Anolis sagrei: one gene and its partner. The protein of the gene in region 1 purifies or fractionates together with the protein of each later gene. This does not show direct contact. Links are inferred from orthologs where the notes say so. Each region holds a gene or a part of one and is shown on either strand. Other genes may lie near its edges.

Region 1 (7,510 bases):
ACTGCTGAACAGCTCTCACAGTCAGGAAGTTCTTCCTAATGTTCAGATGGAATCTCCTTTCTTGTAGTTTGAATGAACAACAACCCCCAGAGTTGGACACAACTGGACTTAATGTCATGAGAAAACCTTTACCTTTTTATTATTATTATTATTATTATTATTATTATTATTATTATTATTATTTGAAAGACAAGATGAGTCCACAGCAGACACTCTGCTGGCTGTTGTATTGGACCACAAGTTGGATACTTCCCAAGTGTCTAGGACTGTATTATTATTATTATTGACACAAAAGTATAGTATGTCACAGCAAAGGAGATCTATTTGCTGGATTTCGTATCACAAAATCACAAGTCGAACACTCCCCAAGCGTCTAGGACTGTGTGATGTATTTTCGAATGATGCGCGCAGATCCAAGTAAGTTGGCCTTTTGCAGTTGACAGATCGTGATTTTGTCGATGTTTATTGTTTCCAAATGCCGGCTGAGATCTTTTGGCACGGCACCCAGTGCACCAATGACCACTGGGACCACCTGTACTGGTTTATGCCAGAGCCTTTGCAGTTCGATTTTGAGGTCTTGATAGCAGCTGAGTTTTTCCTGTTGTTTTTCCTCAATGCGACTGTCACCCAGTATGGCAATATCAATAATCCAAACGTTTTTTCTTTTCCACAATAGTGATGTCTGGTGTATTGTGTTCCAAAACTTTGTCAGTCTGGATTCGAAAGTCCCACAGTATTTTTGCATGCTAATTTTCCACGGCCGTTGCGGGTTTGTGATCCCACCAATTCTTTATTGCTGGCAGGTGGTACCAGTGAATCATCTGAGCCACAGAGTTGTGTCTTTTTGTAGTCCGGCTGTGCGATTTTCTTGCAACAGCTGAGGATATGATCCATGGTTTCATTAGCTTCCTTGTACAGTCTGCATTTTGGGTCATCAGCTGATTTTTCAATCCTGGCCTTATTATTATTATTATTATTATTATTAGAAACACAACAAGTTGAGTCCACAGCAGACACTCTGCTGGCTACTTCGGACACTTCCCAAGTGTCTAGGACTGTGTAATGTATCGGTGAATAATGCATGCAGATCCCAGTAAGGTGGCCTTTTGCAGCTGGCAGATGGTAATCTTGTCAGCACCGATTGTGTTTAAGTGCAGGACAAGGTCTTTAGGCACTGCACCCAGTGTGCCGATCACCACTGGGACCACCTTGACTGGCTTGTGCCAGAGTCTTTGCAATTCGAACTTTAAATCCACATATCGTGTCAGCTTTTCCAGTTCTTTCTCTTCAATCCTGCTGACATATGGGATTGCAACATCGACAATCCATATTTTGTTTTTTAACACAATCATGAGGTCAGGAGTATTGTATTGCAAAACTCTGTCTGAATTCAGAAGTCCCAGAGTAGCTTGACATGTGCGTTTTCTATAACTTTTTCTGGCTTGTGATCCCATCAGTTCTTTGTCGCAGGCAGATGGTATTTGTGGCACAAGTTCCAATGAATCATTTGAGTAACAGTGTTACGCCTCTGCTTGTAGTCTGTCTGTGCGTTCTTCTTGCAGCAGCTGAGGACGTGATCTATTGTTTCATCTGCTTCCTTGCAGAGTCTACATTTGGGATCTGTCGTCGACTTTTCAATTCTGGCTTTGATGGCATTGGTTCTAATGACTTGTTCTTGGGCTGCCAGAATCAAAATAATAACAATATTCTGCCATAATAATAATAATCATCAGTATGGAGTTTGGTATAATCAGTATGAAGTACATCGGTATGGAGTTTAGCCTAGACAAATGTGTCACAGTGGCATTAAAGAAAGGGAAAATTACTCACAGCAAGGGCACTGAGATGCCAAATGGACAAAGCATAAAATGTAATCAGCCTGAAGCCTATAAATATCTGGGCATACTACAGTTGGACAATATTAAGCATGGGCATGTGAAAAATGTGGTCAGCAAAGAATATGTCCAAAGAGTCAGAAAGGTTTTGAAGAGCAAATTAAATGGCAGAAATACTATCAAGGCTATCAACACCTGGGCCATCCCCGTCATTAGATACACTGCTGGGATTGTGAACTGGACGTAAGAAGAGCTGGATGATCTGGACAGAATTTTTTTTTAATTACCATCTACTACTTATTATACCCGCGTAGTGATGTCGACAGACTTTACCTGCCCAGAAAATCAGGAGGCTGAGGGCTTCTGCAAGTGAAACAAATGGTAGAAGAAGAGAAACATACATGGCCAAATTATGTGAAGGGCAGTCAAGAACCAACATTGAGCGAAGTCAATAGTAGTAAACTGCTTAAAGTGCAAAAGACAAAGAGTCAATACCGTAAAAACACAATCCAGAGCAGAAGACAAAACTGGCCAAAGAAGGCTCTCCATGGGCAGTTCATGGCAAAAATTGAGAGCCAAATTGACAAAGAAAAAACATGGCTGTGGCTCACAAATGGGACTTTGAAAAAGGAGACGGAGGGCCTGATTCTGGCAGCCCAAGAACAAGCCATTAGAACCAATGCCATCAAAGCCAGAATTGAAAAGTCAACGACAGATCCCAAATGTAGACTCTGCAAGGAAGCAGATGAAACAATAGATCACGTCCTGAGCTGCTGCAAGAAGATTGCGCAGACAGACTACAAGCAGAGGCATAACACCATTGCTCAGATGATTCATTGGAACTTGTGCCACAAATACCATCTGCCTGCAACAAAGAACTGGTGGGATCACAAGCTGGAAAAAGTTACAGAAAATGAAAACGTCAAGCTACTTTGGGACTTCTGGATTCAGACAGAGTTTTGGAGCACAATACTCCTGACCTCACGATCGTGTTAAAAAAACAAAGTATGGATTGTTGATGTTGCAATCAGAGGCGGCCCTAGGTAATTTTCAACGGTAAGCAAATAGTATTTTGCCCCCCCCCCCCACCAATCACTGATATATGTTTTCTGTTTGTCGTGGGAGTTCTGTGGTTCAATATTTGGTTCAATTCCAACATTGGTGGAGTTCAGAATGCTCTTTGATTGTAGGTGAACTATACATCCCAGTAACTATAACTTGCATATGTCAACATCTATTTTCCCCCAAGAGTGCCTCTGGGCAAAATCAACTATACTGCAAATGCTTACTTTGCGTAATGGGTTGAGCAGCCCCTGGTTGCAATCCGAGGTGACAGCATGATTGAAGAGAAACAACAGGAAAAGCTGACACAATATGAGGATTTAAAGATCGAACTGCAAAGACTCTGGCACAAGCAGTCAAGGTGGTCCCAGTGGTGATCGGCACATTGGGTGCAGTGCCTAAAGACCTTGGCCTGCACTTAAACACAATTGGTGCTGACAAAATTACGACCTGCCAGCTGCAAAAGGCCACCTTACTGGGATCTGCATGCATTATTCGCAGATACATCACACAGTCCTAGACACTTGGGAAGTTTTCGACGTGTGATCCAATACAACAGCCAGCAGAGTGTCTGCTGTGAACTCATCTTGTGGTGTTTCTAATAATAATAATAATAATAATAATAATAATAATACAGTCCTTGACACGTGTGATCCAATACAACAGCCAGCAGAGTGTCTGCTCTGGACTTTATTATAACTTTATTTGTACCCTGCTAGCATCTCTCGAAGGACTCGATGCGATTTACATAGGCCAAGGCCTCAAAACACAATACAACAATACAATACCTAAAGCAAATTAAAAACAGTTAAGCAGTATAACAACAAACATAAACAATACATCAAGACACTATAAAACTGGGCCGGGCCAGAGTAATGGGAACAAGATTAAAAGTGCTGATGTGGCAGGAGGTATGTAGGATTATAAAGTAAGTGCAATGTGCGGTGTGCAGCAATCTTAGTTCTACTAAAGTGCTTCCAGGACTTGGTATTGGAGATTCCTAATCTGAGAAGGCACATCGGAACAGCCAAGTCTTCAAGTTCTTTCTGAAGACTGCCAGTGTAGGGGCCTGTCTAAGATCTTTTGGGAGGGCGTTCCAGAGTCGGGGGGGGGGGGGCACCACAGAAAAGGCCCTGTCTCGAGTTATCTTGTGGTGTTTCAAATAATAATAATTATTTAAATACTGGTAGGCAGACAGGTTTTTGTCTTTGTCACTTCTGGAAACCTATGCCAATAGTCGTCGGGAACTGTCTGTAATTGGGGATCCCGGGGAAGAATAAGGAAGGGCTGGCCTCGTCCTGGGAGCGAAAGGGTGTGTTGTGTTCCTGTTTGGGGGCGGAAGACGGGGAGGGAGAGGAGGGGGAGACACCCTTTCATCCAGGCGCCGCCAGGAAAAGGAAACCGAAGCGGAGGAAGAAGGAGGAGGAGGGATTGAGGGAGGGATGGGAGGAGCCCGAGCAAGATGCCAGCACCGGGCAGGTTTGGTTGAGGCGGGCGCTGCCGCCGCCGCCGCCTTCACCCGCCACTAAGCGAGCGCCCTCTGCCTCCTCCTCGTCCTCCTCCTCCCGCCACGGCTGCGCTTGGCTCCCGCAGCAGAGGCCTCGGCCGCCTCCTCGGGCTCCCGCTCTTCCCCCTTTCGCCCAGCGCCGTCTCCAGCCATGACGGTGGAGCAGAACGTGCTGCAGCAGCAGAGCAACGCCCAGAAGGTGAGCGAGCGGAACCCAGGCAGGCGCCGGGTCTGAAAGAGAGAGGGAGGGAGGGAGGGAAGGAGGGAAGAGGGAGGGAGGAAGGTTCAAAGCGGAGAGAGGCCTGGCAGGGAAGAGAGAGGCCTGCCGCTCTGGGGCGCGTCCTCCCGCCTCGGCTTCCTTGTGACCTTTGATTCAGAGGGAGGGAGAGAGACAAAACACACACAACACAAGCGGCGTGTGTGTGCTGGAATCACAGCGCCTTGCATTTGGTCGCCTTTCTCTCAGGGTGCAACTACGCCAAGCGTGGGCCAACTTGGGCCCTCCCTCCAGGTGTTTTGGACTTCAACTCCCACCATTCCGAACAGCCTCAGGCCCCTTCCTTTCCCCCCTCAGCCGCTTAAGCGGCTGAGGGGGGAAAGGAAAGGGCCTGAGGCTGTTTGGAATGGTGGGAGTTGAAGTCCAAAATATCTGGAGGGAGGGCCCAAGTTGGCCCATTAGGAGTGGTGGGAGTTGCAGTCCAAAACACCTGGAGGGAAGGCCCAAGTTGGCCCATTAGGAATGGTGGGAGTTGAAGTCCAAAACACCTGGAGGGAAGGCCCAAGTTTGCCCATTAGGAATGGTGGGAGTTGAAGTCCAAAATACCCAGAGGGAGGGCTCAAGTTTGCCCATTAGGAATAGTGGGAGCTGAAGTCCAAAACATCAGGAGGGAGGACTCAGGTTTGCCCATTAGGAATGGTGGGAGTTGCAGTCCAAAACATCTGGAGGGAGGGCCCAAGTTTGCCCATTAGGAATGGTGGGAGCTGAAGTCCAAAATACCCAGAGGGAGGGCTCAAGTTTGTCAAGTAGGAATGGTGGGAGTTGTAGTCCAAAACACCTGGAAATAATGCAGTGGCACAATAAATATAAACATGCAAACACAATATGCATTATACATTAAAATCAATAAAAACCATAATGTATCAATACATTAAATGAACTCAAAACCATAACACAAAAGACCCAGAACATAATCCATAGCTGCCTATTGCACTTCCTAGCTGCCTATTGCACTGTACTACTCTCCAAATGCTTGATCCTATAGCCAGGACAGGCTGGAGGGAGCTAATCTAATTTCACTGGGGAGGGAGTTCCACAGGACCACCACTGACAAGGCCCTGTCTCTCGCCCTCACCAGCCACACCTGCAAAGGAGTTGGGACCGAGAGCTGGGCTTCCCCAGAAGATCTTAGCATCCGGGTTGGTTCATAGGGTGAGATATGTTCGGATAGGTAAGCTGGGCCAGAACTGTTTAGGGCAGTGGTGCTTAACTTGTGAGTCCCCAGATGTTTTGGCCTTCAATTCCCAGAAATCCTAAATGCTAAAGCCAGCACTTTGAATTGTGGTTGGTTGCAAATTGGCAAATGTCTCAGGGTGTTTTGTGTGTCAAGTCTGTGGAGGCTGCTTCACAGAATATTCTTCTCTATTGTTTTCATTCCTCTCCCCAATTTTTAAACACCTTCATTCCCCCCCCCCCCCCCCCCGGTCCTTGTGTCCTGAGATGCACCTTGCTTCTCCTGGTCATATTAGCTCTACAACCAGTTTTGTGATACTTTGGCAAACTAAATTTAAAGACTGGGTTGCTGTGAGTTTTACAGGCTGTATGGCCATTTCCAGAGCCATTCTCTCCTGGCATTTCACCTGCATCTATGTCAGGCATCCTCAGAGGTTGTGAGGTCTGTTGGAAACTAGGAAAGTGGGGTTTATATATCTGTGGAATATCCAGGGTGAGAGAAAGAACTCTTGCTTGTTTGAGGCAGGTGTTTAAAGAGTTCAGAGCTAGTTTAAAGGGTTGGAAGAAGCCAAAAATTTGTGTTTTGGTTCCGAAACGGAAACATGTTACAGCTTTTCCTCTTATACTCTGAAGTAATAGATGTAGTTGTGAAGTAAAAGTAGCATGGGTTCTCTTTAACGAGAATTTGCCAGGAAATGATCGCCTAAGATGCATTCTTGCTCATTGCCAACTTTATGTATCTAGCTAACCTTGCCCCTTCAAAACTGGAATCCGACTCTTGAATATTTGGGGCCTGTGTTAATCAAATTTAAATGTATGTATATCTTTTTGGGGTGTTGTGTGGCTGGCATCTTAAGATATATATCTTTTTCTTTTGGAGTATGACAGCCTGACACCTGGTGGAAATTTTGTCATGAAGTTAGATCTGTACAGGAAAAAAGTATTTAACTGACTCTGGAACAACCTTGTCAGATGAACTTAGTCTGTGTGCAAGGGCTATTTATGTTGCCAACACCGAGAGCCTTGTGGTATCAAGAGAAAGTAAAGTTGTTACCATTGAATGCTTGTGAAAATCATTCTCAAGTTTGTAAAACATATTTAATGCCCTTTCTTCAAAGAAGACATCACAGTTTATTTTTATCCTTCTTTTATGAAATCTATATGAATAAACTGAAAGTTACTGATATTATCAATTTACCAGTTTGAAAGTGTGGTCTTTGTTCAAAATATAATGTTTTTAGTGTCTCTGTATGGTATAAAGTGAATTATTCTTGTAGACAGAAATTGGTGTGTGGATTAATGTTTCTAGAAGTCTGTCATATGCTCTGGACTTGTTACATGAATACATTGTTGGTGAGTCAGTAATGATCATCTGGAAATGGTATGGAATCTCTACAACTTGTCATTCATTTGAGTCATATCTGTGTGCAGCCACTAAAATTGGGTGCTGGGTGGTTTTTGATTAATCTGAGTTGAATGGGGATGTTCAGGTTCTAGTTACTCTTATAAAGTTACTATTCACTCCTCTGCATCATAATAAAATTAGATTTCCATTTTTTGTAACACCTGTATTTGGATACATATGGTGAATGAAGTTTGGGGGAAGCAGGGTTATAACATTTCTAGTGCTCACTGAGACTCACTTCAAGGAGCCCC
Region 2 (8,070 bases), on another chromosome or scaffold:
CTACAACTCCAAATGTCAAATTCTATTTTCCCCAAACTCCACCAGTGTTCACATTTGGGCATATTGAGTATCTGTGCTAAGTTTGGTCCAGATCCATCATTGTTTGAGTCCACAGTGCTCTTTGAATGTAGTGAACTATAACTCCAAAACTCAAGGTCAATGGCCACCAAACCCACCCAGTATTTTCTGTTGGTCATGGGAGTTCTGTGTGCCAAGTTTGGTTCAATTCTATCATTGGTGGAGTTCAAAATGCTATTTGATTGTTGGTTAACTATCAATCCCAGCAACTACAAATAACAAAATCAATCCCCCCAAGCCCACCAGCATTCAAATTTGTGAGTATCGGATGTTTGTGCCAAATTTGGTGCAGTGAAAGAAAATACATCCTGCATATCAGATATTTACATGACGATTCATAGCAAAATTACAATTATGAAGTAGCAACAAAAATAATTTTATGGTTGGGGGTCACCACAACATGAGGAACTGTATTAAGAGTTCGCGGCATTAGGAAGATTGAGAAACACTGCTGTATAGGTTCCCTTTTGGAGTTCCGCTAGATAATGGAACAGTACCCTGAAGGGTTTTAGAGATACTCCCAATCCTAAACAATAGATTTCCATGGACCACTTTTTTTTTGTCGTGTCAGGAGAGACTTGAGAATCTGCAAGTCAATTCTGGTGTGAGAGAATTGGCCTTCTGCAAGGACATTGCCCAGGGGACACCCAAATCATTTGATGTTTTTATCATCCTTGTGGGAGGCTTCTCTCATGTCCCCGCATGAGGAGCTGGAGCTGGTAGAGGGAGCTCATCCGCCTCTCCCTGGATTCGAACCTGCGGGGTTTAATCTACTGCGCCACCGGGGGCTCCTCCATAGACCACTGACTCAAAACAAAAATTCCAGATCATTTATTCAACCGGCATCTTTTTGGGCTAAAGGCTTTTTCATAAACTGAATACTACAACCGAATTCAACCCATCTAGTTAAGTTGTGTTCAATCTCCTAAGCCGTGCTGAAAATAGGTCATGCAATTATGGACCCAGTCACACGTATCTACGGATTGGCATGCTTCAGTTTGAGAAGAATTAGCTATTGAAGCCCTAATGAAGTGGAGGGGCAATCGAGTCAAAAGGAGTTTGCACTTACGTCATTCCAAGAACTCTGGTATAAAAATCCAGTGACTTTTTGGGATCTTTTATTCTTAACATTGTCTGTTGCATCAGAAAATCCTGAAAAGAGAGAACTTATTAAATGTCTATGAACCATGAAAGACACTGCTATTAAAATTCTCCCATTTAACTGATTTCACGTGGCAAAATAGAACTATAGATACTCTTAGGACTTGAGTTTGGAAGTAACCAATTAAAAGAAAGTTTGTTGCTTGTTCTTTTTAAATAGCAACAATGGTACACAGCAACAGACCATGCGAATGCCATCATTATAAGAAGACTTCAGTAGAAACTTAGGCACTTCAGAATGGATATATTGTCGAAGGCTTTCATGGCAGGAATCTTTGGGTTGCTGTGAGTTTTCCGGGCTGTATAGCCATATTCCAGAAGCATTCTCTCCTGACGTTTCAACCACATCTATGGCAGGTATCCTTAGTGGTTGAGAGATCTGTTGGAAACTAGGCAATTGGGGTTTACATATCTGTAGAAGGTCCAGGGTGGGAGAAAGAACTCTTGTCTGGTTGAGGCAAGTGTGAATGTTGCTAATCAAGGTGATTAATTGCAACATTCACACTTGCTTCCAACAGACATTCAAGGCTAATAAAGGTGGTCAACACCACTTTGAAAACAGGGGAATTCCAGACATGAAACAATCAGGGCCAGTAAACACCTCCCAACAAAGGATTTTCCCCAGACAGGAATCAGCCAGGCCTTGAAGCTGCAAGGCTTTCAATGCTAATCAAGGTGATTAATTGCAACATTCACACTTGCCTCCAACAGACAAGAGTTCTTTTCTCCCATCATGGACCTTTTATAGATATCTAAACCTCCCTTGTTTAGATTCCAAAAGACCTCACAACCTCTGAGGGTGCCTGCCATAGATGTGGGTGAAACGTCAGGAGGGAATGCTTCTGGAACATAGCCATACAGACTGGAAAACTCACAGCAACCCATTTCAGAATTGTTTTAAAAGTGGTGTGTGTGTGTGTGTGTGGGGGGGGGGGGTTCCAGTATTAGCAGTCAGTTTGTTAGCTAAGTACTACCTTGTGAAACTATAACTCTCAGGACTCCATAGAATTGAGCCAAGTGTTGTCAAACTGCACTCATTCTGCAGTGTAGATGCACTCCCCAGGCCTGGAGGGAACCTGATCCTCCAAGTCACCGCCTTTAAAGTTCAGGCGCTCCAATTTTGGGGTGAAAGGTAACACCCAGCCTGGTGGTTTTGGCCCCGCTCCTTAGAAGAAACGCCTTGGCAAAGGCAATCCCTCCCTCCCGGTTTCGGGCTTGGCTTGCCTGTTTTACGGGGGAGGGGGGAGGCGGGCAAGGCAGCCTCCCACCAGGGCCAAACCTTCTCTCTCCGGCCTTTACCTTGGTGCTGGGGTGGGGGTCCGAGCAGGCGCTGGAGGCCTCTTCATCGGTGAGACCGCTGAGCTCAGCTTGCTCGGACATGGTGGCCCACGGGCTCCTTCCTCCTCCCGAACGAGCGCGGCGGCGCCTTGCAGTGGCGAGATAGAACGCGTCCTGACCAACAGCGACGAGGCATGCAAATGAGGGCAGCCTTCTTTAAGCCACGCCTCTCCTAGAGAAGGAAGGGTTTTGAAGTTCCTAGGGAGACCCTTTGAAAAAGAAACATGAGTTTGATTTTATTCTTTTACAAAGTTGCCACAGATACCTTAAAAAAACAATAGGACTTTGATTTTGGGATAATGGAATTTTTAAGCAATTTAATAATTTTTAAAGGCTTCCCATAGATACCACTTATTTATTTTTATTTTTTTAAAGGACTTTTGCGTTTTCCCTTGCTATGAAGGATTTTGATTTTAATGTGTGGTCAAAAGCTTTCACGGCCGGAATCATTGAGTTGCTGTAAGTTTTCCGGGCTGTATGGTCATGTTCCAGAAGCATTCTCTCCTGACGTTTCTCCCACATCTATGGCAGCCATCCTCAGAGGTTGTGAGGTCTGTTGGAAACTAGGCAAGTGAGGTTTATATATCTGTGGAATAATGTCCAGCATGGGAGAAAAAACTCTTGTCTGCTTGAGGCTGGTGTGAATGTTGCAATTGGCCACCTTGATTAGAATTCAGTGGCCTTACAGCTTCAAAGCCTGGCTGGTTGCTGCCTGGGGATGCTTTGTTGGGAGGTGTTCGCTGTCCCTGATTGATTCTTGTCTGGAATTCCCCTGCTTTTTCAGTGTTGCTCTTTATTTACTGTTATGATTTTAGAGTTTTTTCATATTGGTAGCCAGATAAATAAAGAGGAACACTCGAAAAGCAGGGTAATTCCAGACAGGAATTAATCGGGGCCAGCTAAGAAAGGATCCCCTAGGCTAGGGGTCCTCAAACCTTTTAAACAGAGGGCCAGGTCACAGTCCTTCAAACTGTTTTAAACAGAGGGCCAGGCCACAGTCCTCCAAATGTTATAGTTGGAGGGCCGGAATATAATTTGAAAAGACGTGAATTCCTATGCACACTGCACATATCTTATTTGCAGTGCAAAACAACCACTTAAAAACAATGCAATAATTAAAATGAAGAAAATTTTTAACAAATATAAACTTATTAGTATTTCAATGGGAAGTGTGGGCCTGCTTTTGGCTGATGAGATAGGATTGTTGTTGTGTGCTTTCAAGTAGTTTCAGATTTAGATTGACCCTGAGTGAGGGCTGGGTAAATGACCTTGGAGGGCCGTATCTGGCCCCCGGGCCTTAGTTTGAGGACCCCTGCCCTAGGCAGAAAGCGGCCAGGCTTTGAAGCTGCAAGGCCTTTCAATGCTAATAAAGTGGCCAATTGCAACATTTATTTTATTTATTTGCTATATTTCTATACCACCTTTCTCAACCTGGAGGCGACTTACAAGTTGGTAGCAATTTGATGCCATAACGATCACAGTGTACAATGAAAAACATTTAAAACAACATTATAAAATCCATACAAAACTATTAAAAACATAAAAATATCCAATGTCTTCACACCTGCCTCAAGCAGACAAGAGATCTTTCTCTTATCCTGAACATTCCACAGATATATATAGACCTCACTTGCCTAATTTCCGACAGACTTCACAACCTCTGAGGATTTTTTTTTTTTGTCGTGTCAGGAACAACCTGAAAAACTGCAAGTCGCTTCTGGTGTGAGAGAATTGGCCGTCTGCAAGGACGTGGCCCAGGGGACGTCTGGATGATTTGATGTTTTATCATCCTTGTGGGAGGCTTTTCTCATGTTCCCGCATGAGGAGCTGGAGCTAATAGAGGGAGCTCATCCACCTCTCCCCGGATTTGAACCTGCGATCTGTCGGTTTTCAGTCCTGCCTGCACAGGGGTTTAACCCACTGCGCCACCGGGGACTCCTCTGAGGATGCCTGCCATAGTTGTAGGCGAAACATCAGGAGAGAATGCTTCTGAAACATGACCATACAGACAGGAAAAACTACAGCAACTCACACTTTGAATTCGTTTTTTTAAGACTTTATATAAAACTGTACAATTGTAAAAACAAATTATGCAAATAATAAAAATTTTAAAACCAAGATATAAAACAAATAGGCAAGATGATTAATAAAAAATATTATAAAGTTAAACTCCACAAGCTTGTTTTAAAGTGATGCCTCCTTTTTCAGTTTAAAGAGTGAAACGCAGCATTCTATGGCTTCATAGATCTACGGAATTCTGACTCCCCTCTGACGTCACTTTGGACGTCAGCGCGTAGGCCAGTTGGGGCGCCGTTGCTAAGTGACGTCAGCGCGCAAGGCGACGCGTGAACGGCGCAGCCGGCGGTCAGGAGAAAAGGGGGCCCGCCGCCTCAGCGTTCCGGCCGGTAAGTCTGAGGGAAGGAAGGAAGCAGGGAGCGGGAGAGGGAGCAGCGGGCCAGCCTTTCTCCCCTTCGGCTCTCTCCCTGACCCTCCCGGCCGAAGGGCGCAGAGCAGCGGTGTGGGCTTGAGCTTCGCCGGGCTCCTGTGGAGGCGAAGAGGGCAAAGGGCGCCATTTGGCTCTAGGAAGGCCGGCGCCTGCCTTCCATTAATCCACACTGCAGGGTGACAGCCCTTTGACAGCCCTTTGGACGGCCATTGCTCCATGCTAGGGAATCCTGGGATTTGTAGTTTGCTCTTACAGAACTGCAGATTTCAGAATTCCATAGCACTCAGCCATGGCCGGTGTTACTCTTTATTTGTATCCCGCTGTTATCTCTAGATGGAGTCACCAGTGGTGTAACGGGTTATGCTGCTGAAATTGCTGACGGAAAGATTGGTGGTTTGAATCCAGGGTGAGCTCCCGCCATTCGCCCCAGCTTCTGTCAACCTAGCAGTTTGAAAACATGCAAATGTGGGTAGATCAATGGGTATCGCTCCAGCAGGAAGGTAAACGATGCTCCATGCATGACCTAGGACAGTGGCTCTCAACCTGTGGGTCTCCAGATGTCTTGCCCTTCAACTCCCAGAAATCCTAACTGCTGGTAAACTGGATGGGATTTCTGGGAGTTGTAGGCCAAAACACCTGGGGACCCACAGGTTGAGAACCACATGACCTAGGAGGTGTCTGCGGACAATGACAGCTCTTTGGCATAGAAATTGAGATGAGCACCACCCCCACCCCCAGAGTTGGACCCAACTAGAATCAATGTCAAGGGGAAACCTTTCTGTTATCTCAATACTGAGATGCCAAGCAGCTCACAACATTAAAAAGAGTTTTATTTATCTACTATATTTGTATACCGCCTTTCTCAGCCTATCGGCGACTCAAGGCTGTTTACAACACATAATAGCAAAATACAGATTAAGCATTAAAACCATATAAAACAACAATAGAAACAGTAAGTACGGTGTGTTGTCAAAAGCTTTCATGGCCGGAATGATTCGGTTGCTGTGGGTTTTCCGGGCTGTATGGCTATGTTCCAGAAGCATTCTCTCCTGACGTTTCACCCACATCTGTGGCAGGCATGCTCAGAGGTTGTGAGGTTTGTTGGAAACAAGGCAAGTGGAAGCAGCCAAAGGCAGGCAAGAAGCAGCCAAAGCCTTCAAGCTGCAAGGCTATTCAATGCTTTTTTTTTTTTTTTTTGTCGTGTCAGGAGTGACTCCTGGTGTGAGAGAATTGGCCGTCTGCAAGGACGTTGCCCAGGGGACGCCTGGATGGTTTGATGTTTTTTTGTCATCCTTATGGGAGGCTTCTCTCATGTTCCCGCATGAGGAGCTGGAGCTGATAGAGGGAGCTCATCCGCCTCTCCCCGGATTCGAACCTGCGGCCTGTCAGTCTTCAGTCCTGCCGGCACAGGGGTTTAACCCACTGCGCCACCGGGGGCTCCTAATGCTAATCAAGGTGATCAGTTGCAGCATTCACACTTGCCTCAAACAGACAAGAATTCTTTCTCCTACCCTGGACATTCCACAGATATATAAACTCCATGTGTCTAATTTCCAACAAATCTCGCAACCTTCGAGGATGCTTGCAATAGATGTGGGCAAAACATCAGGAGGGAATGCTTCTGGAATATGACCATACAACCCGGAAAATTCACAGCAACCCCAAAAAAGTACAGTTCACACCCCATAACATTCATATATTAAAGTAGAATTGAGTAAGTAAGAAATAAAAATTAGATAAAACTATTAACATGACCAAATACCCCACAGTGCCCTCCCATGTGGCTCCCATTCTGATATTTAGATAGAGCTTGGATCCCATGCCTTCCTGAGAAAGTGCAAGATCAATGTGTGTGGGAATTTTTTAAGTTAAAAGGGAGTACTGATAGATCCCCACGCCCACAAGGCATCCCTAACACCTGTGCAATGCAGTATCCAAGCAGGTACTTGTATTGGGAAGCCAGCTGAGGAATCCAGGTGCTTTAGAGCAGCAGTTCCCAAACTGTGGGCCCTTCCACAGAGCCATATAACCCAGAATATCAAGGCAGAAAATCCCACAATATCTGCTTTGAATAGGGTTATATTCCAGGCCAAAGCTGATAATGTGGGATTTTCTTCAGCTGTGTGAAAGGGGCCTGTGCTCCACAAAAGCTCAGGTTTCCACAAAAAGCATCATATTAGGGCGGTTCCATGAAAAACCTTAAAAATCAAATTGAAAATGCATTTTAAAATAAAACCACACCAGACCAACTCTACTGGATTTACATTCTCTGTAATAGTTATAGCTGTTGCTCTCACGTATGCTGGGTGCACATTTCAACTTTTTACAACATGTGATTCATATGTAGTCGATTTTTTACATTGGTTCCACATTTCTTTTTGAATTTTTACTTTCTTACAAAGTTTTTTTTAACATAAAAGACATTTGGAATATTCATAAAACATCAGAGTAAAATTTATTCAAAAATTGAATGTTATATAGGAAATTGGGAGACATATTTGAATTAGTGTAAAATGATCCAAAATATATTTTGATTCAACAAATCAGGGATATATGTAGTAAGAGTTCTGCAGAAAAAAAATATTTTCTGAAGGTTTGCATGACCCCATGGGAACCATTGCTTTAAAATACCTTCGATTTTGTTGCCATTCAGGTCATATCAACATAGGCAGATTAACCTTTTAGGCTGTTCAGCAATTTTTCAGAGTTTATACAAACATTAGTCCTCGGTACATTAAGAAGTGGGTGCAGTATATGGCACAGAGGCTGCTTGCCATTGGGCTGATGGGGCAAAGACCAGAGCAATTGTGAGTTGAAGCAGAAGGTCTCAATAGGCAGTCCAAAAACTTCAGAATCAGGCAAATAAAGCAGAGATGGTGATGTATTTTGATATAGAGTCATAGAGTTGCAGTCCAACTCCCTGCTGGATCTCCAGTTAAAGCATTGCCATCAAGGAGCTGTCCAGTCTCTTTCTGAATATACCCTTTGAAGGATACTCTACTACCCCTCTAGACAATTGGTTCCATTACTGAACTGCTCTTACTGTC

The links.
Region 2: the proteins of USP25 (region 1) and BTBD9 purify together in Homo sapiens (affinity purification with mass spectrometry; 3 studies listed by BioGRID and IntAct, counting the BioPlex papers as one, with this or other methods). This does not show direct contact. The link is inferred for Anolis sagrei from reciprocal best matches to the Homo sapiens genes USP25 and BTBD9.

What each region holds. Positions count from the first base shown.
Region 1 is NC_090023.1:61,866,634-61,874,143, forward strand, and holds the start of USP25 (ubiquitin carboxyl-terminal hydrolase 25), read left to right. Parts: upstream 1-4,329; 5' UTR 4,330-4,555; coding exon 4,556-4,603; intron 4,604-7,510. UniProt on the Homo sapiens protein: Deubiquitinating enzyme that hydrolyzes ubiquitin moieties conjugated to substrates and thus, functions in various biological processes including inflammation and immune response.
Region 2 is NC_090021.1:46,422,619-46,430,688, forward strand, and holds the start of BTBD9 (BTB/POZ domain-containing protein 9), read left to right. Parts: upstream 1-4,876; 5' UTR 4,877-4,982; intron 4,983-8,070. Other genes in the region: GLO1 (lactoylglutathione lyase), read right to left, coding at 1,148-1,230, 2,539-2,619.